Linked DNA regions of Drosophila melanogaster. The protein of the gene in region 1 interacts with the protein of each later gene in a pairwise test. Each region holds a gene or a part of one and is shown in the gene's direction. Other genes may lie near its edges. The genes, in order: Vamp7 and Ugt316A1.

The links.
Region 2: the proteins of Vamp7 (region 1) and Ugt316A1 interact in a two-hybrid assay, tested with the Drosophila melanogaster proteins (2 studies listed by BioGRID).

The regions. Positions count from the first base shown.
Region 1 is NT_033778.4:9,832,328-9,844,063, reverse strand, and holds Vamp7 (Vesicle-associated membrane protein 7), read left to right. Parts: upstream 1-1,561; 5' UTR 1,562-1,763; intron 1,764-1,838; exon of another isoform or gene 1,839-1,896; 5' UTR 1,897-2,013; coding exon 2,014-2,217; intron 2,218-2,295; coding exon 2,296-2,524; intron 2,525-2,588; coding exon 2,589-2,656; intron 2,657-2,714; coding exon 2,715-2,870; 3' UTR 2,871-2,984; downstream 2,985-11,736. Other genes in the region: sting, read right to left, coding at 1-104, 161-260; Marc (mitochondrial amidoxime reducing component), read right to left, coding at 3,015-3,120, 3,194-3,480, 3,549-4,171, 4,230-4,236; Lsm11, read left to right, coding at 4,651-5,421; CG1663 (uncharacterized protein), read right to left, coding at 5,654-6,574, 6,633-6,875.
Region 2 is NT_037436.4:19,056,210-19,068,061, reverse strand, and holds Ugt316A1 (UDP-glycosyltransferase family 316 member A1), read left to right. Parts: upstream 1-5,245; 5' UTR 5,246-5,613; coding exon 5,614-6,059; intron 6,060-6,126; coding exon 6,127-6,321; intron 6,322-6,461; coding exon 6,462-6,675; intron 6,676-6,731; coding exon 6,732-7,787; 3' UTR 7,788-8,662; downstream 8,663-11,852. Other genes in the region: Sfxn2 (sideroflexin 2), read right to left, coding at 2,453-2,612, 2,679-3,217, 3,467-3,735, 4,346-4,361.

The DNA.
Region 1 (11,736 bases):
GGGCAAATAGTACCGCCCATTGCTCCCATATTCGACGACACAGCGGTACAAGCGAAGGAGCAGATCAGCCAAGAACACGGTGGCTACAATGCGAATAGAGGTGTCTGCAACGAATCACGACCGTAAAGATAATTTATGGCGTCCATCGGTCATCACTCACCAATATAATCTCCTATCATCTTTCGAAAATAAAAATATTTTCTGCCTTTTTCCGCGCGAACCGCGTTCCCCGCTTCGACAACGTTGCTAGCGATTGCCATTTCGTCTGCATACATATGTACGTCTCAAGGGTTGCCAGATCGATTTGGAGATCTCGCGAAAACTTCGCTGGAATTTCAAATGCCGTTAAATTATATATAAATTTGTTTATTGGGCTTGCATAGGTATACATAACTGAATTTGGGCTCCTAAATATTAATTACATTGCGTGCACATACAAATGCACATATTTATGTATGACGGAAGCAATGAAGGAACTACATTGTTATATCTTTTTATTATTATTTACTTTTGTGTTTGTTTATCAGGTATCAGATAAGATTTTATCAATATAGCCTCAAAGATTCGTTAATCAATTTGTATTCGAAATAAAACTTTAGGTAACAATGTCCGGTTCCGACTATCAGATACATATACAGACATGAAATCTGCTGACTGTAAAGCTCTCCGCCCTCTGGAACAAATATTCGTGAGAGCCGGAGCCAGCTCTAGACTCCTCCCAAAAACGCATATTGTTATTCTAGTGTCTTTGGTAAGAGGGTATACTAGATTCGTTGAAAAGTAAGTAACAGGTAGAAGGAAGCGTTCCCGGCCATGTAAAGTATATATATTCTTAATCAAGATCAAAATAATAAAAAATAACAAAGATAATTAAACATTAACAATGGTTAACCAATTGGTGGTTAATTAACCATCAACAATGGTTAACCATTACGCTCTTACTCTGCAACTTAAATACTGATAGCTACACCCTAAACGAATTATAAGATTTGATAAATGATCTTATTTAAGCATGCTTATTGTGTTCTAATATTAAATTCTATAGAAACCTTATCCTGTAAAAGGCTCAAAAAAGTGCAATCGTGCCATATTTGTGGCCAGAATAAATGAGAATTCTAAGTCTTTTAAAATAAGTAATTTTAAATCGAATATTTCGGCAGCATATGCGCATATTGAAACTACGTATATTGTATCTTGCGTGTGTACATAGTTTAAGTTATTACCTGCGGTTTTTTCTGTCAAAACGAATGGATCCAGGCTCAAAGATCTCAGGAGCAAAAGCTTGGGAACGCTATTAATTTAAATTTACTTTAATGGAAAATTCTTTGTCCGGGGAGAAGAATCTCAACTGGATGAACTGATGCTCTCGTCAATACTGAAACGCTATCGGTGGGATGCCCCTATTTAAGTTGCGGAGATCATTTAATTTAATAAGCAAATGCAAATAATCATAAGACCGTATAACATAATTTGTAAAACACGTTATGCAGTGTGACCGTGCGATAAAGCCAGACTTATCGGCTCCATTAAATATCGATGCGTCGATGTACCGTCCTTCCACCTCTAATTTTATAACTGCATCGAAGCGTCAGCAATTGTTGTTATTTGTAATGCAAAAATCGAGCTAATTCCACGGTATTGTGATGTTTTTATTGTGTTCGGCAAAAGCAATTGAAAATCGATAATAACTTAAGCCGCTTACCACAAAATGTAAATCTGCAGTTGCGCTATCAACTCGAGGCGGATCTAATTGGATAAACAAAGCAAGTACTTTGATATAACAATTTGCATATTACACATATATACGTATGTTACTCATAAACAGAGTTATTGTTCAGATTGATAGGCTCGCAATTGGATAGTAGTAGTTTCTAAATCGATATGTACATTTCTCAGAATCCGAGAGCACGTCATCATTGACGGATCGTCGGCTCATTCCCCGATAAGCAAAACAAAGCAGTAGCCTGAGGAGCTGAACAACCGCGCCCTTAGCAAAGGAGAATCTGTGGCACCATGCCGATACTATATAGTGTGATATCGCGGGGCACCACAGTGCTGGCGAAGTTTGCGGAGTGCGTCGGCAACTTTGCCGAAGTGACGGAGCACATAATCGGACGGATCGGGGTGCATAACCACAAGATGACCTACACACACGGAGACTACCTGATCCACTACACCTGCGAGAACAAACTGGTCTACATGTGCATCACCGACAACGTGGGTGAACGAACCACTGGCCCAATTAGCCACCTCAGTTGCTTATTGCCCAATCGATAACGTATCGTTTCTTTGTAGGAGTTCGAACGGTCGCGGGCCTTCCTCTTCTTGGCGGATATCAAGCAGAAGTTTATCCAGACTTACGGCCTACAGGTGGCCACCGCCATCGCCTACTCCATGAACACCGAGTTCTCCAAGATCCTGGCCCAGCAGATGGTCTATTTCAGTCAGTCCCGGGAGGTGGACACCATTTCGCGAGTACATGGTCAGATTGACGAGCTTAAAGACATTATGGTTAAGAATATTGGTATGAAGGAAGGAAAATCCGTATGTTCTTTTTGTTTACTATTCCCTTTTCATCCCATTTGCAGACAGCTTGCGGGATCGCGGCGAGAAACTAGAGCTGCTCGTCAACAAGACCGAAAACTTGAGCAATAATGTAAGGTGATGCCAAGCAGAGACTTTTAAATGTGTTTTTCATTTGATCTCTCTTACAGTCCGTTGCATTCCGTAAGGCCTCCCGAAATTTGGCTCGTCAAATGTTTTGGAAGAACATCCGCGTCTACGTGGTGGTGGGTCTGGTGATAACCTTCATCGTTTACGTGATTGTGAGCATGGCCTGTGGTGGCCTCGCTTGGCAGTCCTGTGTTTAGGACAAGCTTTAAAGTTGTTTATATTGTTATAGGCTCATAACACATGTATATTTGCATATAAAACTCTACAGTACTCTCATCTATGTTCTATGTAATAAACTTCAATGTATACCGGATAAAGTGTTAGAAGAGATAATGGAATATTCACTTGTCCTCCACATACACGACGTCGTTGGCCTTCACCTTTCCCGGCAGCCGAAGTCCCATATGAACGCCCAGAGCCGGCGAACTGTAGTTGAACAAGCGATAGCTGTGGATTCCAGATATGAGGGTCGGGTTTTGTAAGTCGTACTTCTCAGATATTTCCATGGGTAGTGACTCACCTTCTGAGCGTTTTGAGAGGCTCTCCTTCGGAACTCCTCTCTGCGGTCTTCGCATTAATGTTGGTAAAAATACAGCGAGTGCATGGCGCCACCGTACGGAAAACAGCATCTTCGCCTATACGCACCCACTGCCAATTGTCCTCGGCATAGGGCTCATCAACATCCATTTTCAGTTCGAAGTTACCTCGGAACTGCAGTGCATCCACCGGATTCTTTAACCGAGTATTAAGATCGGCGACCGACGAAAGGTTCATCAGCATAAAGCTGGTGGCATCGTTAAAAGTGCCCTATGGAAAGAATTCAAATCAAGGGTGATCTGGGTCCTAACACTTCGAATTGCGCATCAGGAACATACCGAGTCCTCCTGTCTAATGAATGGCATGGACTTTAGGCGGGGATTGGTGCATCTCACTGGTTTCGGATAGGGATAGTGAACTAGCTTGAGGCCGCTCTCCTTCTTCAGGATGGCCTGGGAGAACCACGTGTTGATCCGATCTCCGCAGGGCATCACGTCTATGGAAACGCCCCAAACGGAAGTTTTCACATCCTTGCCAGGACCGTCCAGCTTCTCGAAGTCCAGCTCCAGGTCTGGCATGTCCTGGGCGCTGAACACAAGCTTGCTGGGCGACACCTTCTTCGACTTGATCTGGGTCATAAGCGGATACACCCGAGCCGTGATCATTTCGTTCTTTTCATTGACCACCATCAAGGTGCGATCCCTTATTCCCTCAAAGGACATGCTCAGTACATCGCAGTCGTACTCCACTCCGGGCTTCGAGATGTCCATAGGGGCACAGGACTTGACCGGAAAAAAGTGTATCCTCTCCACGGTGCCCACGCGTCGCCACTTTTGGGGAACCACATCGCGGGTCAGATGGCGGTACAGTAGGAAGCTAGCCCCGCCCACCGCCACCAGGCCCACGCCCACGGCCGCCAGGGTCTTGGGACTGAGGTCAAAGGTCGAGTTATTTCCGCCGGCTGCAGGATAATCCACGTTACTTAAGGATCTCCCAGCTAATCCCGGTTTTTCACTCACTTGCCATCTCCTTTGCGCTGTAACACTTGTTGCTTTCTCTGAGTCAAAAGCTCCACTGATTAGGTTTATTGGACAAAAAGCTCTCCTTTGATGAAGATCTCTTACCAAGGCTGGACAACACATGCATCTATGTATATCAGCGGTCATTTTGACAGTAGCAACTGATGATAAGGAATGTAACCTGGTTCTTAGTGCTATTTTTCAGTGATAGGGTAGACTTAATACATTTATTTTTAAATTACCATCCCCGCTCCCTCCAGGTTAATCGATAACTGTTATCGGGCATGCAGCCGGCGAATTCGTGCTCCTTTGTTTACATAACAATTGCAAGAAGCCTGTTGCCTTTTAAGCGGAAAAAGAAAAAAATTTAAGGTTCTTTGTTCTATCAGACTTCTATCGGCAGACTTCGGGAATCAGTGTCATGGAATCGAGGGACCGGAAAACTTCGAATGAGGACGACTCGTCGGAAATCTCCGAATTGGATGTGGGCAGTGATAGGTTTAATCCTCTGCGAGCGTTATACGAACCCAATTTTAGGGTGACCGATGCTGTTCCAAAGGTCATCTACCAGAATCTGGCTGCCTTCGAGAGTGCACTTAAAAAATTCGGCATCTGGCAGCTGAACAAGCGCCAAAAGCCGGGATCCGCAGAAGGAGGAGATCAGGGGACATCGAAAAAGGCTTCCACTTCCGAGGCTGTAGATATTCTACCTCCTGAGCGACGTTTTGAGCCGCACCAGATGCCTACCACTAGTAGCAGAAAGAAGCATCATCGAAATATTTTCACCTACATGGAGGCAGCTGTCGGTCCATTGGAACTCCTAACGAAGTGTATATCCCCTGCTAGCCACAATGAATCCAACGAAAGGAGAAGAGTTCGGGTGGTGATTCGCAAACACGGATCGGTGGGCGGCAGTGTCGAGGGTGAACTGTTGGCCTTTGACAAGCAGTGGAACCTCCTACTGAGGAATGTTACCGAAACCTGGAAGCGACGAAAGTACAATTACGGAGAGCAAAACATATGCGACACACCTGTTGATTGCACAGGCCGCCTCAAGGAGTTGGGTATCACTCTTCCCAGGACTGTAGTCAAAAATCTAAACCGAAAAAACGTGGAGATTCGGCGAGAGCTCCCACAGATTTTAATACGCGGCGAGAATGTGGTTCTAGTTAGTTTAATACCAACAAAATAGTGTATAGCTTATTAAAAGTCACCTCAGATAAAAATCGCGTAGGGTTCTACTTAAAAAACTACAGCAGTCTCTATTAAAGTAGCTAAGAATATATGTAAATTATTGATATATATAATTAAGTTACGCTACAATGTATACAAATTAAGTTATATGATATATTTCCATTTAAGGTTTGAAATCGTTTTACTTTTAAAGAAATTTAAACTACTATTTTATATTTTTCGAAACGTACTTAACTAACGAATCTGTTCAATTCCTCTGGATCATCGTCCTCATATGATTCCATTTCTTCGCTTTGGAGGTGAACCAGTTTATGAAGCTTCAGCAACTCCAGCGTCTTGAATCTCCGCCAGCAAAAGTCGCAGGAGACCTGCCGCGCACTGTTACCGTCGTGAATTTTCCGGATGTGACTCTTCAAGGTGCTATTCTCTCGAAATTGCCGGCTGCAGTGCGGACAACATAGTTTCGGTTGGTCGTGAGTTCGCCGATGAACGGCCAGGGCGGAGCTGGTCTTCGAGCTGTGCCCGCACAGCTCGCAGATATAGTTCCTTTGCCCCGCGTGCATGGCCTGGTGCTGTTGGAAGTCCCACTTGGAAGGTGCATTGTAATCGCATCTGCTGCATTGCCACTCCGGCCGCTTAAAGTGGTACCGTGCCTGGTGTTGTTCTAGCTTGGAGGCGAGTGGAAAGCTCTGGTGGCACACATGACAAACATTCGGATTGGGTCCCCCATGGACGCGGAATTTGTGCAGCCGTAGCAGGCGCTCGTTAAGAAACCGTCGGTCGCACTCCTCGCAAATGGTCACTGATATGTGGTTCGTGGGCATGAATTTCAGCAAACTGTGGTAGTACTTTGGATAGCGACAGCGGAAGTCGGAGCTGCTCAACTGCATTACATACTGTCGCTCAAACCAGACTTGCAGGAAACGGGCACTGGCATTGACCACCTTTGGGTCCAACTGGAAGTGAAATCGATGGAACAGGGCCTCTGCCACTTTTTGGGAACTATCCATGCGATCTTTTTTATTGATCCCGTGCTCAGTTATCCAGAAGAATTTGTGTCTCCGCAGTTGCTGTATGAAGTACTGAATAACTCCGGGGCTGGTGCGCTGCAGGCTGTAGAAGGCTTTGTGGGGTTGGTTCGAGATGTAGTCCTGTGGAAATCAAAGAATCGAAGTCAAGCAAGTGTCATTAATAACCAAGGCTGCTTACATGGTGGCTATTGCTTGCGAGCTCATCATGGCCCTGCTCTTTCTCTGGTGAAAAGTTTGGTTCCACCTCCTCTTCCATAAATTCTACATTTTTGAAAGATTCCTGTACCTCCGCCAACTTGGATTCCTGAGCAATAGACGCCGCCAAGAGATTGGTCATCTCCACCTGAACCTCGTCCTGGATCTCATCCTCATCTGCATTAAATCCACTTTCGTTTCCATGCCTTTGAACCAGGTGCTTCATGAATTCCTTCCATTTGTCACCGCCAAAAGTGTCCACATTACAAAGGCAGCATTTGATTAAAATTGAGGAGTCACTTCTCATGTATACGCGTGCACTTTCTACATAATGCTTCTTATTTGAGTGTTTTGGTATCATGTCCTTAGAATCTGCATGCAATTTATTCCGAAAACTACACATTTTATGAACTAAGTATCGTTTTCAGGTACGATTTGTTTTCCGATAAGTATTCTCATTTACAAGCGCAAGTGTTGGAAAATTCGACTTGGGCCATAGACTTATCGATAGGTAGTTGCACGTCTTATTCGAATTCAAATGGCAGACGACACTCGGCCAAAAAGCAATTTTTGTTTTCGCTTTGTTTTGCTCTTCTTTTGTGTGTGAACTCAAAGGACGGGCTTTGTTGCCTTACGCACAAAAAGTGCATATTGTTGGCCTGACAAAGCGGTAAAAACTTGCGCTTTCATTCATTAAAACTGGGACTGTTGCTGCTTGGAGCGTCGCTGCTGCTTTCGGAACTGCTGTTGGCGCAGTCGCGATCCCGAGCTCAGTCGAAAACACGTTACGCGCCTGTGCAGAGCGTTTTTGCTCTATCCAAACGTTTCCGATCCCATCCGATCCAATCCGATACGATACGATCCGATCCGATCCCATACGATACAAAGCCAGCGGATTCGAAAGTTTTACACCGCGTGCAGCAGAAGCAGCAACAACAGCAGCAGCAAAAAAAGCAACAGCAATAACAATTCGTATGTTTCGTTTGTGTGTTGAAGATTTAATTTTTTATGCAAAGCAAACGACGACAGACTTTTCGGCTGGTCAACAATTTCTATTTTAATTGGCAGTAGCGCCCAGCAATTTACCATAAGCGAATGGAAAGCTGACAAAAGTCACCGACTCCGGTTTATTGTGCATAATCAAGCCAATCAATGTGTTTTCTTTCGTCCACATTATTTGCCATTTTTGCCATTTGCGATTAGCCACTCGCAGATCACGCAGTGGCCAGAATTTGGGTTCTTTGCTCGGAGCGCCAGCGACCCAATTTGTTAACTATCGCCATTATGGCTTAATTGCTAGAAATGAATAAGTTTTTAACGAACTGCGTGCGCCGCTTTTGTGCGTGTCGCTGTTTCCTTTTTCGCGCAGTGTACGCAAATTGGCAAGCGCCGTTAATTAGAAATTTTCTTTGTCAAGGTTGCGAATCCCCCATCGGATTCCCACTTGGACTGCGACTCCGGCTCAAGTGCACGTTCGTTTGTGTTGGCTGTCAATTAGCGTGTTATTCAACCGCGCTCGCAAATAGATCATTAAAGTAAAGCACTCGACGGGCTAATTGTAATTGTAACGATGTGCAAACACCGCCTGCGCAGCTGGCAGTGGAGATATGGCGACTTCTATGGAGTTCTGTTCTGCAGCTCTGCATTCTGATCTCCCAGTAAATTAGCACATCGATTAATTGGCCAAAAACTGGATTCCTTTGCTAGATGGTAAAAACAGGTCGACACAGAAGGAGCTATCAAAATATACATATCAGTTCGAATTAAACTACATTAATTTTACTCGACATTCTAATTATTCCATGTTCTAAAACATTACGATCTCTTAATGATAAAGTCGGATAAATTGGATAACGTGCACTTGTAATACTGAAGTATTTTATTCGTTTATTTGCTTACTTAATATTCTAGTTACATAAACGCGATTCTCCAACTGTTAGAACCACTAAGTGGCGCATTTTAAAGACGCGAACATGATTTGAGCCTCTGAGATTTTTGTGGATAACTTCCAAATCGATGACCTATATCTGCTGGATTTTTTCTCTGTGCCGAGTTACCAGTTTTCCAGGCTTCTGATGACCGGGCAGCATGTATATGGGGCATTCATTCCGTTTTGGGGCCAGGCCACTCCCCGCGCGCACAGGTTAAACAGCTTTTCCCCCTCCACTCGCTTCGGTTCGGTGTGGTTTGGTTCGGCTCGGATTCGAATCCACTCGGCCACATCCCGCTGCCACTCCCCCGAGATTTTCACGGCCACCGGGGGGAAATGGGTCGGTCGCCTTCGTGCGGAAGCCCTCGCATTAGGGCATCCACATCCACACCCACACCCACATCCACAGAATCGTAATCGTGTAAATGGCAAATACACTTTGCTCCCTCTATCGGCGAAATAATCAAATAGCACCAGGTCATAAAGTTTCGGCGTCGGACGTAGTTATCACGCCGATATGGCTTCGTGTGTTGATATCATTCGGGGAACTCTAGTGATTATGTTTATGCGACCTCTAATATAGGAAGCCCCGAATATGTTCAAAATCAAAGATCGGGTTTCAATTGCAGTAAATACACTTGTGTGATTGTTTTATTTTAAAAATACTCTCTGTATCATGAGGGAAATACCCAATAGAAGCTTTACTGTATTGAAAATCCCCTACCTAATGACTTTTATCTTTACTGACGTACTTGAGAATAGTCTTTGGAAAACCACGGAAAGTCAACTTGAGATAAGTGCTTTCAAATTTATAAATTTACGTCATTTATTCCTATTTTTTAAATCATTAACATTTACTATCTAGTTTATGAGGACAATTGTCAAAAATTGCTCGTGACAATTACAATTGTAAAAATAGCATACTTTAAGAATCCGACAAGACTTGATAAATAGGTTTAACCAATTAAATCAATTTTATACAATATTGATGTTAGTTTTGATGACAGTGAACTTTATATTCTTTTTTGAAAGCAACTTGAAAATAGTAAGTTTCTCTTTATAACAGAGTATGAAGTAACCAATTGGATGCTATATTTTAAGATATGATAATATATAATATCAGCTTAAATACTCAAATAATAATAATAATAATTAATTCCTATACCTTTCGTTAATATTCAGTTCGAAAGCCAGTTGAAAATCGCTTGTTATTGGGGACGAATAATAACTTTTCTATAAATAAGCCGTAATAGCCGCTGTCGTAAAGTAATCTTCTACTTATTGAACAACCGAGTAAATAAGGTAAATAGGTCTGGCTAAAGCAATTGTCCCGCAAAGCTGACCCATTGGGCTGAGCAAATAAACAAAACAGTGAGTCAACTCCAAGTTGTTGCCGTTTGCCGAGCAAATAAACAGATAACCGGGCTCTTACCGCATTCACGATCAGAGCAGATCATGCGCTCGCAGCACGTGTAAACTACGTAAATATTCACGGGCGCAATTAATGCCACTTCGGTGGATTGGATTTTCTTCCATTTCGCACGTCGGAAGTGTCCACTTTTGGGGCGCCCAAATACTCCAGTTAGTCCAGTTCAGATGGTGCATAATCGGCCAGCAATTAAGTAATGTACACACATCACCTTCGTTTTCCGGATGGTGCTATTCCGTGGGGGCATGTTATGGCGCGCACCTTTCACGTAGGGCGCCTGCAGGGCAATTCGCTCTGGGCCACGGCTATTAAGCTCTCCAGGTAAATATCTGGCACTCGGAATTCATATTTATTTTGCCAGCCATATAACTAACTATATGCTATATGTGTGCCAGCTACATGCGCACGAGCAGAGCGATAACCGCCGACGAGCGACGACGATGTTGCGACTACTCCAGGCGTTCGAAGTTGCTCGTTCAGGTTTCAGTATTCAGTTACGTTTTGGCGTTTTACGGTAACGCAGCGGACAGTTAGCCTCCAATTATAGGTGCGTCCATATCTCCCGACATTCCAGCTTGTGAGTGTGTGCCAAAATAATAGAGCGTAATGCCATCATATTTGCGAGTAAAACCGAGAAACCTGCAAACGTGTAAATATCGTCTGAGCGCCTTATGATCGCTCATACGCCGCGTTGGCCCCCTACAAAAAAAAAAAAAAAAAACAAAGCCGCTTACGCCCGACGTTCGTGACTTTGACATTTGTGGCCGCTGGCCGCTAAATTGGCCATCTATAACGAATTGTCGCGCATCTGAAACACGTTCTACAATATGTACACACACATTTTATATATACGGGCCCTCCTAATCGAGGGAACTCATTCCCCGACGTGCCCCTGCTTTCACGGCATAACCATCGCCTCCTCATAACCATAAATCCCATAAAATGTGTATGAAAATATTTACAACTAATTATGCGGCCAGGCGGCAAAACACTCTCCGCCGCAGATCCATTGAGGTGCCTTGAACTCGGGCTCCGACTTATGGTTTTATTTTTTTTTTTTTTCGTTCATGGCAGCCGATTTCACTTTCTTTTCGCGCTCTCTAGGGCCGCTAATCACAATGGGATTGGATAATACTCCAAGTGGCCAGCTCCCAAGTACCCAAGTTCCCAGTTGCCCAGTCGCCATTGCAGCCTTATCGCCTCGGATTATGCTGGCCCGCTTATCAGCCCTATTTTGGCAATGTCTTTGATAAGATTGCCGCGCCGCCTTGGCTTCCTTTCGACTGATTTGTATGTGCCCGCTGCGCCGTAGCTCTTGGCCAAGTCAGTCCGCAGCATAAGAGATGTTCCCAAGAGATGTAAACAGATTGCAATTGTACTAGTTTCCAGTTCACACAGTGCTGACCGAGTTTGTCTGCAACCACAATTCGCTCCACAGGGCCCTATGTTCGAAGGTAGATCCGAAAAAGGTTCAGGTGGGGGGGCTGGGAATCTGATTTGATCCGCCGAGTGATAGACGCACCCAACTCACGCAGCTCCAAATCGAATTTCTAAGGCAAACGCTCTGTTATGGCCCCGGGTTTTATCTCAGCGACTCAATTCACACCCTGAATGCGAGAAGATTCAAAGAATTCGGTTGAAATGGCAAATAGGAAAGTGGCCATTCCCTCGCATTGTCGGGAATTTGTTAATATCTTGCTCAGCGAACGATTTTGCTCCCAGATGAAC
Region 2 (11,852 bases), on another chromosome or scaffold:
AATGAACACTAAAACAAAGAAAATAAATACAACCATTTGCACAACACAAATAACCACACAAAAAAGAACATTTGCCAAAAGCAAAACATTTTTTATTGTTTTTAGGGGTGATCTAAAATATCGGCATAGACCATATAGCTAAGCAGATTTTAGCAAGGTTTGACAATTGGTCTAGATTATATTAAAAGCCGATTAATCGCATAAAGTTATTTTCTACAAACGACATGTTAAAGTTGGAGGACAGCAAGATGGAAATAAATTAAGTGATTCATTTGTTATGTAATGGATAAAAAAAAATAAAGTTGTATGCGTGTCAGCTGTTTTCCAGTCAGGCAAAGTTGGTACAAAATTTTATCAGGTGACATTTCAAGAAACAAAAAATACGAACCAAACTGCATCTGAATAATGTTTATAGTTTATATGTAAAAGAAACAACAAGAAAATTAAAAACTAAAATAGTCCCAGAAACTTTTTTGGAAAAATAAGGCTGTGCGCGATAAAAAAAAAATCAATATATATATCTAATAACGAGTGTTGAGAATTCGAAGAAAAAGGTTGAAATGCCAGATAGGATTGGTTAGTTGGATTTATAAGATCGTGAACAACTCTCCTTGGCCCAAGGCTAGGATTTGTTTCCAGCCGAAGCTGCTCGACTGATTCGATTTGATAAGGATGGCGAGATGGTGTTGTGTGGTAAGTGAAAGTCAGAATATTCTAAATTTTAAAGCTCAGGAACGAAGGGGTCAGAGATGTTTTGGGAGGTATAGAACCCAAGCTAGCTGGGTATTACAAAATACGCGAGTGCTAAAGTCGCACAACATTCCATAGAAATCATGTCCACTTTAAATAGTTTTTATTGTAAGGCAACCTTAAGTTTCAAATGGGGTCAGGTTTTGATTAGAAAAATCGGCTTTGTTAAAAGCAAACGAATGAGTTTTGATTAGGCAGCTAAATACGGATAAGAAGTTCCTGGTCAAAGGGAAGCTTACTAAGCTAGTTGCTCTAGCCCATAGGATTTTTGCAAAGGAAATGCCTACGATTTTGAACGAGCTTTTCCCAGCTAAGAGCCAAACATCTAGGAAAACTAACTTAAGCATTAATCCAGTTTGAAATGCCAATTTATTGTTGAAAGCCTCAGTCAGTATAAATAACTAAGCATACAGTTAATAAATATTGAAATCGAAGCAAAAAAAAAGGTCCCAGAACCCCGTAAATAATTGTGTGTCGAACGTTTTGCCAGTTAATAATTAAGATAACTAAATTGTATTAAAAAGTGTTTGCTGATTCATGCGACAATTTCCATTTTTAAGGCACAAGGCGATCCACTTTTTACAAGCTAATGCGAAATGGAATCGAAATTTTGCTGCCAGGCAGCGCATTTGTTGTCCATGCCCCCAAAATGGGCGTGGCATGGGCATAACTGCTGAGATTTTTCCCTTTTGGTTTTTGTTAGCGTAAGAAGATACAAACCATTTTACATATTGTACATCTGAGTGTTGAATTTTTCCATAAATATTTAGCACCGAGATAAAGAAATATTCAAGCAACAGTGCCAACAAAAAGTAAAACACCCAAAACTAAATATATAAACTATAAATGATAAACGAAATTGTACCTTGAGAAAGTCCAAGCAAAACTATCTACGGCGGTAGCACTCAATGCGAACCAACCGATCGACAAAAAAAGTCAAACAATAAGAAAGAGTACCCCTCTGTCAACGTTTAAGGACGAATATTCTATAGCTACCTAGTTGTGTTTTGCACATTTTGTAAACTTTACAACACGATGAAGGAAACCGAATATCTAGATAAACGACAGCCCCGCAGCGTTATATATAATGATATATATACTTATACAGGATACAAGAACATAACTAATAAAACCGTTTTTAAAACCCGTGAAACTTGAATACTGTTTTTACACTTTTATTTTAAACAATGAGTGAATTAGTTCTAATACGAAACACAACGAGTTTGGTTTGTTAGTTATTAGTGGCTTGTAAAAGCATTCTCCTGCTCAGCAGCTCAGTTTAGTTAGTTTCAGAATGAAAAATTATCTAAATTGTCAATTATTACAGTTTTAAAATAACGTATAACATGAACACGATTTAGGACATACATATTTGAATATTAATACCCATTATGTGCTAGCCCTGCTAAGGTTCTTATGAGCAAATACATTTTTTTGGATGTGGATGTCACTAGATATGATAACTTATCATACAATTTAACAAATTAGAAAAACCTAGCAGGTCCGAGATTTACATTTTAAAACAGCTGAGATTCCTTTTAGCTTAGCAACTACGACAATTGACACATGACACACGGAACAACTGCAACTGCAAAGTTGCGCAATCTAAAACAGTAAATGCTACATAAAACATGAGACGAGAACGGATACCACTAACACACAATTGTCTTCCCTCAATTCCAGGATTATTGTCGAGCCGATCTTACAGACCCTTGTTGAAGTAGACACGCTTGGGCACTTTGCCCTGAGTTTTCTTCTCGAGGTCCTCGTAAAGTTCGGGCTCGAAGGTGCGCATAATCGAAGTGTCCAAGGAACACTGCTGTGGGAACAGGGCGCAGGCAGTGGGCACCATGAAGCAAAGGCTAAACATCAAAGAATAAAAAGATCAGTTAAAGGAACAAGTGGTCGTAGATGATAAAGTTACTTACAAGCACCCAACCAAAAGGGTCTGGAATGGAGCATTAATCCACTTGATGCGCCTGTAGGCAGGCAGTTTCTCCAGCCTCTCCATTATCAATGGCAGCACCAGCATTCCGGGCGCCGCCATCGCAATCCTGGACACAACCACCTCACCGATTCCTTTGATGGCTGCCAATCTACTCTGGCCCACAACCACTCCATCGTCGTTCTTCACCTCTATGCCATTGATTATCTCATTTTGTCGCATCAGCGGAATGTTCACGAAGTTGGCTGCCGCCACAGCTGCGAAGGGCACAAATCTTTGGAACAGCGGAGTCGCTTTCTTTGACCAATAGTTCTTGCATCCAATAGCAGCTACCAGAGCCGATGTCGTGGCGGATACATAGGCCACGCCCAGCTGCGTAACGCTAGTTGGCGAGTTGGCATTGCGATTCGTGTAGTTAACAACCGCATTGAAGGACTGGTTGATGAACTGCCAGAGCACCACGGCGGGCACGGTGCGATAGAAGGCCAGCATGCCACCGGTGATCAACATGCCTCCGGGTACCTGAAGATAGACCAAATACACAAAGCAATTAGTAAAGCTTAAATATGTAAGCATCGATTTAGATAAGCCCTTAAGGGAACAGGTTCTTTGATGCTAAAACCAACAAAATGCTCGAAGATTTGGCATTCCGAGCAATTGGTCTTGATATCGTCGTGCCTTCCTTGTGTTTTTGGCAACCCATTCACAAGGCGTCCACGCCAGACGCTTCTATTTTCAGCGACCACGTGCCGAACCCATCTCGAGACTTGCCTGAAAACTCATGCGGCCGCAAAAGTTCTGCAGCTCGCCGGTATCCGGATGAAAGGCTGAGTTGTACAGCTTCATGTTGTAGTGCACCTCCTCCGGCTTCAGCGGCGGGGATTGGTCACCTTTCCGGTAGCGTTCAACCATTGCTTTGGCTTCCAGCAGGCGATCGCTGGATACGACTACGGTGCGGGGGTCCGTCATCCAGGCGAAGTACTGGAAGCGCCCAGCGAAGGTGCTGAGATCGAAGAGTGGCTTGTCCACATCGATGAGGGCTAGGGTTAGGGATTGGTTGGGTCAGTGGGCATAGAATGATCGTATCTCTGGGCTCTCTCAAATATCAAATTTATTAAGTACATTATTTTAGATACTGCTACTATTTGAAGATTGTTTAAAATTTGATGAAAGTACATTTATTTTGGCTGCCACGTTATATATTAAAGTGTATTAATTGAAATATTACATACAAGCTCTAGCTGACTTTTAATTTTTAAAATATGTAGTTTACAGAATTTTGAGAATCAAAATGGAAATAATAAAAAATTATGGCTATAGATTTATTAATTCTTAAAACTTTTTTAACAAATGAATAGATTCATTTATACAATAAATTGATATTAGAAAGTGTTGAGTAAATGTCATAATCAGTCTTATGTTTTTGAAAAGCTTTCGAAAAAAAAACACAACAAAACTGATTAGATAATGAAGATGCTGTGAAATGAATATCCTTTTATGTTATTTATTTTCACAAAATATGCATAAGAAATGATTCATCAAAAACTTATTTGCTTTGATTCCTCTATGTGTATGTATTCACTTGAATGCTCAATATATTCGATATTCGTGGGAGCCCATATAAAGTGGTGGTTTTGATTTGATTCTTACTTGATACCTGCGACATTTTGGCTGCTGATCCAATTGCCTAACTGCTTGTAATTTGTAATTGCGAGCGGCTTACGTAAGCAGTAACTTTCAGCTGTTGCCGGTTTATGGCGGCTTGCTTTTGTTATTGTTGTTGTTTTGGCCGCTTGCGCTTTTGGGCAGATTCTCACCTTATGTGTTTGCTTAGGGCCGATTTAACAGCAAATGATTCGTTTTAGCCACGCACCTGATCCGCCAGCTGTTCAATTCACTTTTCTGCCTCGTAATGCGGTTCAAATGTTCACTTTTTATGTCGCTCTCCGTTTTTTTTGGCACTCTTCCAATTGGAAAAAAAGTTGTTTTGTTTGCCGCTCTCTGTTTGTCTTTTTTCGCTCTGAGTTTGTGCATCCACAAGTACTTGCTGTGCTCGCCGCAACCTCTCAATTTAGCACTTCTTTTGTTGTGCAATTTGCCGAATGATTCGCAAACTCAGTCGCGTATAAATGCAATTTTCAAATTGTTTACTGCGATGGTAAGGAAGAAGAAGCAATGTGGCGGGGTGGGGGTGGCTTTGCACAATAGTGGGACCGTGCGTAGATCAGGCGGGAAAAGCCACAGGCAAGCAGTGGAAGGTGCCATGGCTTCAAGCAAGCAGTTCATGTTCGCATAAAAATATGCAGTAATCTCTAGAAATTCAATAATGTAATGTAATGTATAATTCAGTAACTTTATTATTAATCATGTTAAAAGTAAGGTATTCAGAGCACGAGTGTTTTTTCCATGGCACAAGTTTTGTATACTCGCCAACTGCTTGCTATTAAGACACGCTTTAAATTTCAGATGTTAACGCGGCATCGCTAATGCTTCTTTCAGCTGCAAAATAGCTAGATTTGCCGGTCTGAACAGCTAGCCGGACATCTCTGAATGCCATTCGCAGGAGACGACGACAAAGCCGCAGTTGTTGCTGCTGTTCTTTTCACTTTCGTTGCGTTTTGCACTGCATTTTATTTGGCAATTTGTGTGCATTTTTCAACAGCTGTGATATTTTGCCATCGCATCGTGGCGGCAAGATGATGAAAATCGGCGAAAAAAGCGGGAGCAGAAGCAGCAGATAATAATAGAAGCCACGTACTTGTGCGTGTGTGTGCGTTGTGTATGGGCTGAGCGCCAGTGTTTGTGTGTGTTTTTGCAAAAAAAAAAAAAACCGGAAAAGCAGAAACACAGACACGAATGCGGATGCGGATGTAGAAGCGGATGCAAAGGCCACTGCGGATATAATCCACAAACACAAAATGCAAATCCTGCAAGTGTTTCTGGGCACGCTGCTCTGCGGCATCGTCCTGGGCGCCAATGTACTGACAGTTTTTCCCAGTGTCTGGAAATCCCACTATCTCTTTGGCCGGAGATTGCTTCAGGAGCTGGTGGAGAGTTCGGGCAACCACTCCGTAACTCTGATCAGTCCACATGCCGCGCAGGAAGGTGTGGATGCGGAAATACCCAAAATCAGGGAGCTGCGCATCGAAGGGCTGCGGGAAAACTGGCTCGACATGGGCATGAGTTTTGAGGCCGAGGAAATGCGGGCCCAGAGTGTGATGGAAAGGTTCACCCGGCTGATCTACGCTGGCACCACCAATGTGGACATTTTGCTGTCGGATCCCCAGGTCCGGAAGCTCCTGACCAGCGGCGAAAAGTTCGACTTACTCATAGTGGACCTGTTCTTAAGCGATGCTCTGCTAGGGTGAGTCCGAAAGCCAAAAACGGGTTTCCTTGGTATATATTTCAAATGGAAATCTGTTCTCTTTTAGCTTGGCCTTCTACTATGGCATACCCACCGTTGCAGTCAGTCCCACTGGCGCGAATTCCTGGCTGAATAACATGTTTGGCAATCCGCAATCGTCCTCACTGGATCCCAGCAATTTCCTGCCCTTCACGGAGAGAATGAACACGAGGCAGAGGATTCTAAACTCGCTTATGAGCACCTTTGAGCGCTTGACCTACAAGTACGATCTTACTGCAGTATAACTTGTATAATTGTGTAGCATTTCGAGACAAGTTAATCATCAGCAATTTATATTATCAATAGGAAAATAATCTTTCTTTACATTCAGTTTAACAGGATCCGTTTTTTTGTATTTTGCAGCTTTTTCCACTTGATCTCCCAGCAATCCGTGTACACAAATCACTTCGAACTGCTCGTTAAGGAGCTGCCGCTTTATAGAGATCTGACAAAGAATCTCAGTTTGGCCTTGATTAACTCGCATCCAGGCCTACATTATCCCCGTGCATATTTGCCCAACATGGTGGAAGTGGGCGGCCTGCACTTAAGCCACTTAAATGATGACAATTTGCCAAAAGTATGTCTAAATGCATTCATTCATAAATTCAAATCACTTACTTTAATTGTTTTTAGCATCTTCTGTCGTTCATGGAATCGGCTCCCAGTGGGGTTATCTATTTTAGCCTGGGCGCCGATGTGGAAACAGCTCAACTGCCTCAGGAAAAGTTGGCCATTATTCTGGATGTGTTTGGCCACCTCAAGGAGTTTCACTTCTTGCTGAAGTGGGAAAAGGAGGAGTTTACGGCGGAACAGGTGCTGCCAGAGAACGTTATGATTGCTGACTGGTGGCCACAACAGGCCATCCTTCACCATCCGCAGGTCAAGATGTTTATTAGCAGCTGCGGTCAGTTGAGCGTTTGGGAATCGATTAGTGGACAAAAGCCAGTACTTGCCATACCCATTCTAGCCGAACAAGAGGTGATGGCTAAGCGCTTGCAGCGACATGGAGTCTCCGTGACCGTTGGCTACGACTCGTTAGCTTACGATTCGCTGCTCCACGGCATAAGACAGCTCACCCTGAATACCAGCTATGTGGAGAAGTTGGGTCAACTCAAAGAACGACTGATTAGCCGCGATTCCACGCCAGTTGGAAAAGCTGTGCGAAAGATACAGCTTATATTGGAGTCTGGAGGAGCTGACTTTCTTAAGTCGCACGCCAATACCTTAAACTTTTGGAGAGCTGAAGGTGTGGATGTTCTGCTTATAATAGCAGTGGGCTTTTTTGGAATTTTAACCATTCCTTTCCTGGCCATTTGCTTTATACTAAGAAAATCCTACCACAGCCAAGCCGCGCAGGATCAGCCACCATACAGAACCAACCTGAAAGTGGTTGGCAGAGTGCACAGCTATGGTGACCAGGGGAGTAGTAGATCTCCCAAGGGAACAGAGTCGCTCAGAAGAACGCGATCCGCTCAATCTTTATCGGCGCGGTCCAGCTCTTCGAGCATGAGCTCCAATTCACCGACGAGTCCATCGACAGCGTCCACTACGCCACTGGACCTAACTCCCCCACCTCCGATTCAGCTGCTCGGGCAGGTGCCGCCCTTGCAGTTGTACGTGAATCAGCAGCGGATATACTCAAGCGATCGAAAGACATCACAGGAGGAAGCAGAACGCAGGTTCTCATAATGATATATCTCCACACGAAATATATTACTAAACTTACGGTGGATCACATAGAAAGGATGCTCGTCTCGGTTTCACATCCTCATGTTAGGACTAGCAAAACTGTAAGATCGTCTAACAAGCCAGCCGGAGGATGGGAAAGCAGAGCTTAGAGCGGGAAAATAATCATTGGTCAATCTATTACTAGTTTCAACTAGATCTCTTAAAGATCCATTAAAGTTGCACAGTTGCCAACTATAATGCCCTCGATTGTCCACCGAGTACATTCCGCATCTATAATCCGTGTCACAAAATCGATCCACCATGCCTATATAAACCTATACATAAAAATATCGTCTAGTGTTAAGTGTGATTTTTTGTTAATACATGTGGTTTTATATTTCGATAAGTTTTAAAATTTATAAATTGTATATATCTTGAATATTTGTATTGTGTGTAAACGAACGTTCACACTTTGAACATAGGATATTTGTACTGACAAAGTATAACAATAAATTGGGTACTTGAAATTGATTTTATGTTCTGATATTAATGTCGAAAACCCTTTACAGCTATTTCATTCAATTAATATTTCAATTCAAAGACTGACAACACCTTTCGTATGTTTTTAAAAAGACAAAGCTTGATAGAAACACAAGCGCTTAGACTGCAATTGTTCAGCTCAAAAAAGCAACTGAGTATTGATAAAATATCTATGTATGTCCGTTTGTTAATTTCGAGCTGAAATTAAAATTGTTAATGTTTTTATAATAATAAAACATATAATGCGGTCACCTTTTTTACAATGGGAAAACTAGATGCAGTTTTCAATTCGGTTTAGTTGTTCTGAATACTTTAAATTAAGGATATTTTATAATGCCATGTATGAATTGTTGAATAAAATATATAAAATAGCCTATAGAATTGGAATTTCCTATATTTCTTTGAATAGTTGTAAATATTTTCCCAATTTAAATGGCTTAATTATATAGCATCTATCTTTGTTTGCATTCTACTTAAATTCCCATGCCGTGCAAGTTGTATTTCACATTTTGTTTGAACTCTCCTTGAACAAATTCAAAATTCTTTTAGTTGGCATAGAGCAGTTAGCGTTAATTATGGTTTAATATGGCGTCTCGGGGGCAAGGGGCGTGTCTAATTAGTTGACTGCACTGGGCTAATGTCGGCAGGCTTTGATGTGCATGGCGGCGTGTGCACTTCATTTAAGCCGAGTGCGGCTCAAGTGTCTCTGAGGATGCTGCCGCGGATGCGTCTGCGGATCCTCCGCACAGGATGGCAGGATGCCAGTTGTTGCAGCAAAGTCACCTGTTTGCTTTCATCAGTCCACTACACACACACACACACACACACACGTTGACAAAGGGAAAACGAAAGCAGGTGAGTGGAAATTCGTGTGATGCATGTGTGCCTGGTGGGTGGCGCATTTTCACTTGGCTTCCTCCTCCGGCGGCCTGTTAATAAAACTGTATTTTTGCACACATGTCGCGAAAGGTGAGCTACTGAAGAACCCTGGGAGGAAAATGCACGCGGGGTCTGGTTGCCACTCCTGATGCGCATATTTTTGGTTAGACATTGGAAATTTGATATGCAAACCACAAGTGACATGATGGTACACTCGCATGACATGGCCCATCATTCCGAAGAATTAAGATTAATTCTAGAGCTCATCTCCTATAGTCCCATTTAAACTTCCATTGAAATGTGTTTCTATAATATCAATTATCCTTTTTAATTTTGCACGCTTAAATATGTTATCATGCTTCAACTATCAAAGGCAAGGATTCACATTTCAACCCCATCGTGAGCGCTCATCGGATTCCAAGTTCAAGAGCCATCAATGGCGGTCAACTTCAACTCTGTTTCGCTGTCAGCTTTATAACCCGACAGTCCTATTTGGTGTTCCATCACAGCCACACTTGTCACACAGGGGCCAAAGACTGGGAAAGATGTGGCGGAATGGGGAATCGGGATCAACTGGAGTGGAGGCCATCGGCTCGACCGCCAGTCGCGAATGTCAACCGCAAGAAGAGCGGCCGAGTCAAGTGAAGACTTCTCGAATTGACAGGCGGCCAGTGGAGTCGGCCGCAGCACGAACACATGAAAAGGGGGTTGTGCACTGTCAGAAAATAAGGTATCATTTGACTAGAATTGAGTTTTTAACTTATTACATTACTTGGCTTCCAAGCCACCGCATTCGTAGAGTAAAAGGAAGCGTTTTCGCTACAGAAAATTCTTAATTAAAGATTCGATCTGGTCATGTCCGTTTGTCCGTCCGTCTGTCCGTCCATCTGTCCGTATGAGTCCTGGAAACTATAAATCTATTTATAGCATGAATATCGCTACAGGCAATTTCTCTCACCCGCTTTTCATTTGTCGAAAAAGAAAATAAAGCACGGCTTTCAGAAGTTTTTAGGTGCTACAATTTTTAATTATAATGATAACAATGTGATTGATTTTGTAAGAAATTATTCTTTTTCGTAATTTTTAGTTCATAAAAAATATATCAAAATTCTGCACTTTAGAAAACTCCTCATTGCTCGTTTTCGATTTTTTTCGATTGAATGTACAAAACGTTGTTTCCAGTGCACCGCAAGAATTTGACATTCCGAGGTCTCGGGTTACGGCCATGGGAACAGAAAGAGTTCGAATTGGTTTTGGCCGTCACTGGGGCTTCCCCCGAGCGCATCTCCGTCTCCCATTAGCACTGCTGTCAGGGGTCCCATGGGGATTGGGACTGGGGTTCGGAATCGGGATCGGGATCGGGGAGGCACGGCATCAAAGGCCCCCATTGACGGAGCTGCCGAGTTGTTGTCATCATCTGTCCACGGGCGGCTCCTTTCAGCTCCTTTGAAGTGGGGCTGCAAAATTAATTGCATGCTACACAAATCCCTCCTCGGCCCATCTGGCAAACTAAAAACTAAAAACTCTAAATCAACAATCATCATAACTATAACTTCGTACGGAGCCAAAGGAATGGGCGCAGGAAAAGGGGGAATGTGGGGAGCATATGTGCTGTCAACATGCTGCCAGTTGCTTTGCTCGCTTCATTTCCCTTACCTCCCCCCTCCCCCCCCCCCGAACATGGTATTTTCAACACTTTTGTTGGGAACACACTTGACTCTTGCCACGGCAAATCCCACGCAATACACACTGAACATACATATACAAACAACATTTGATGCGTGGAATCGGAATAATAAATAATTCTACTAATACTTAGATTGCTTCTCAACTCTATATAGATATTATTATATGTTGATATATATAAAAATTATTATTTTCTTTCGAGCATATTCTGTATGTTTATGACATTTATTTGTTAATTTATTTATTTCTATAGTTCACAAAGTATCTTTCAGTGCAGCTCCATCATGGACATGTGCCCTGTCCCCCGCATTGCCCCTCACATGGAGTTTCCGGCTTTTGTGTGCATTTTGCACTCTGTTTCAATTTAATTACTTTGGAGTTTCGGAGTTACGCAACGAGAACATGACAAACTTTGGGAGGTTGTAAAAAGGAGCAGTGGCCGAGTGATTTAGTTGTCCTCAATGTCGACCGCTGCACTCTTCAATTTAACATTTATAATTCACAAATTAAATGAAATGTGAGTGAAATCCTCAACTGAAATCCTCGGCAAAGGATAACAAGAGTCGTGTTCCTGATTTCGTTTACCAAAATTTGCATTTATCGATTGGGGGAGTCGGCCTGTCCGAGCAGAGGCTTTCCCAGATTTCTGTTTTTTTGCGGCTGTTTTTTTCGGGTGGTGACATACAAAAAATAACAACACAATTTGCATAAACGTCAACAGCAGCAAAAGAAAAAGACACAAAATGCGGCAGCTGTTGCAGCAGCAAGGAAAAACAACCTCGGAATAAGTAAGTAGGGGGTACTATATACGGACAGGATGAATCGCACGGGAGGATGGGATGTAAGGTCTACTGGTGAAGTTAGGATAGGAAAGCCAGTGCTGCCAGTGTTATGACCTGGATCAAAGTCCTGGATCAGTGTACCTGGAGTGAATTATCTTCTAAACGCTAGCCAGGAGTTTGAAAATTTTAAGATATATGG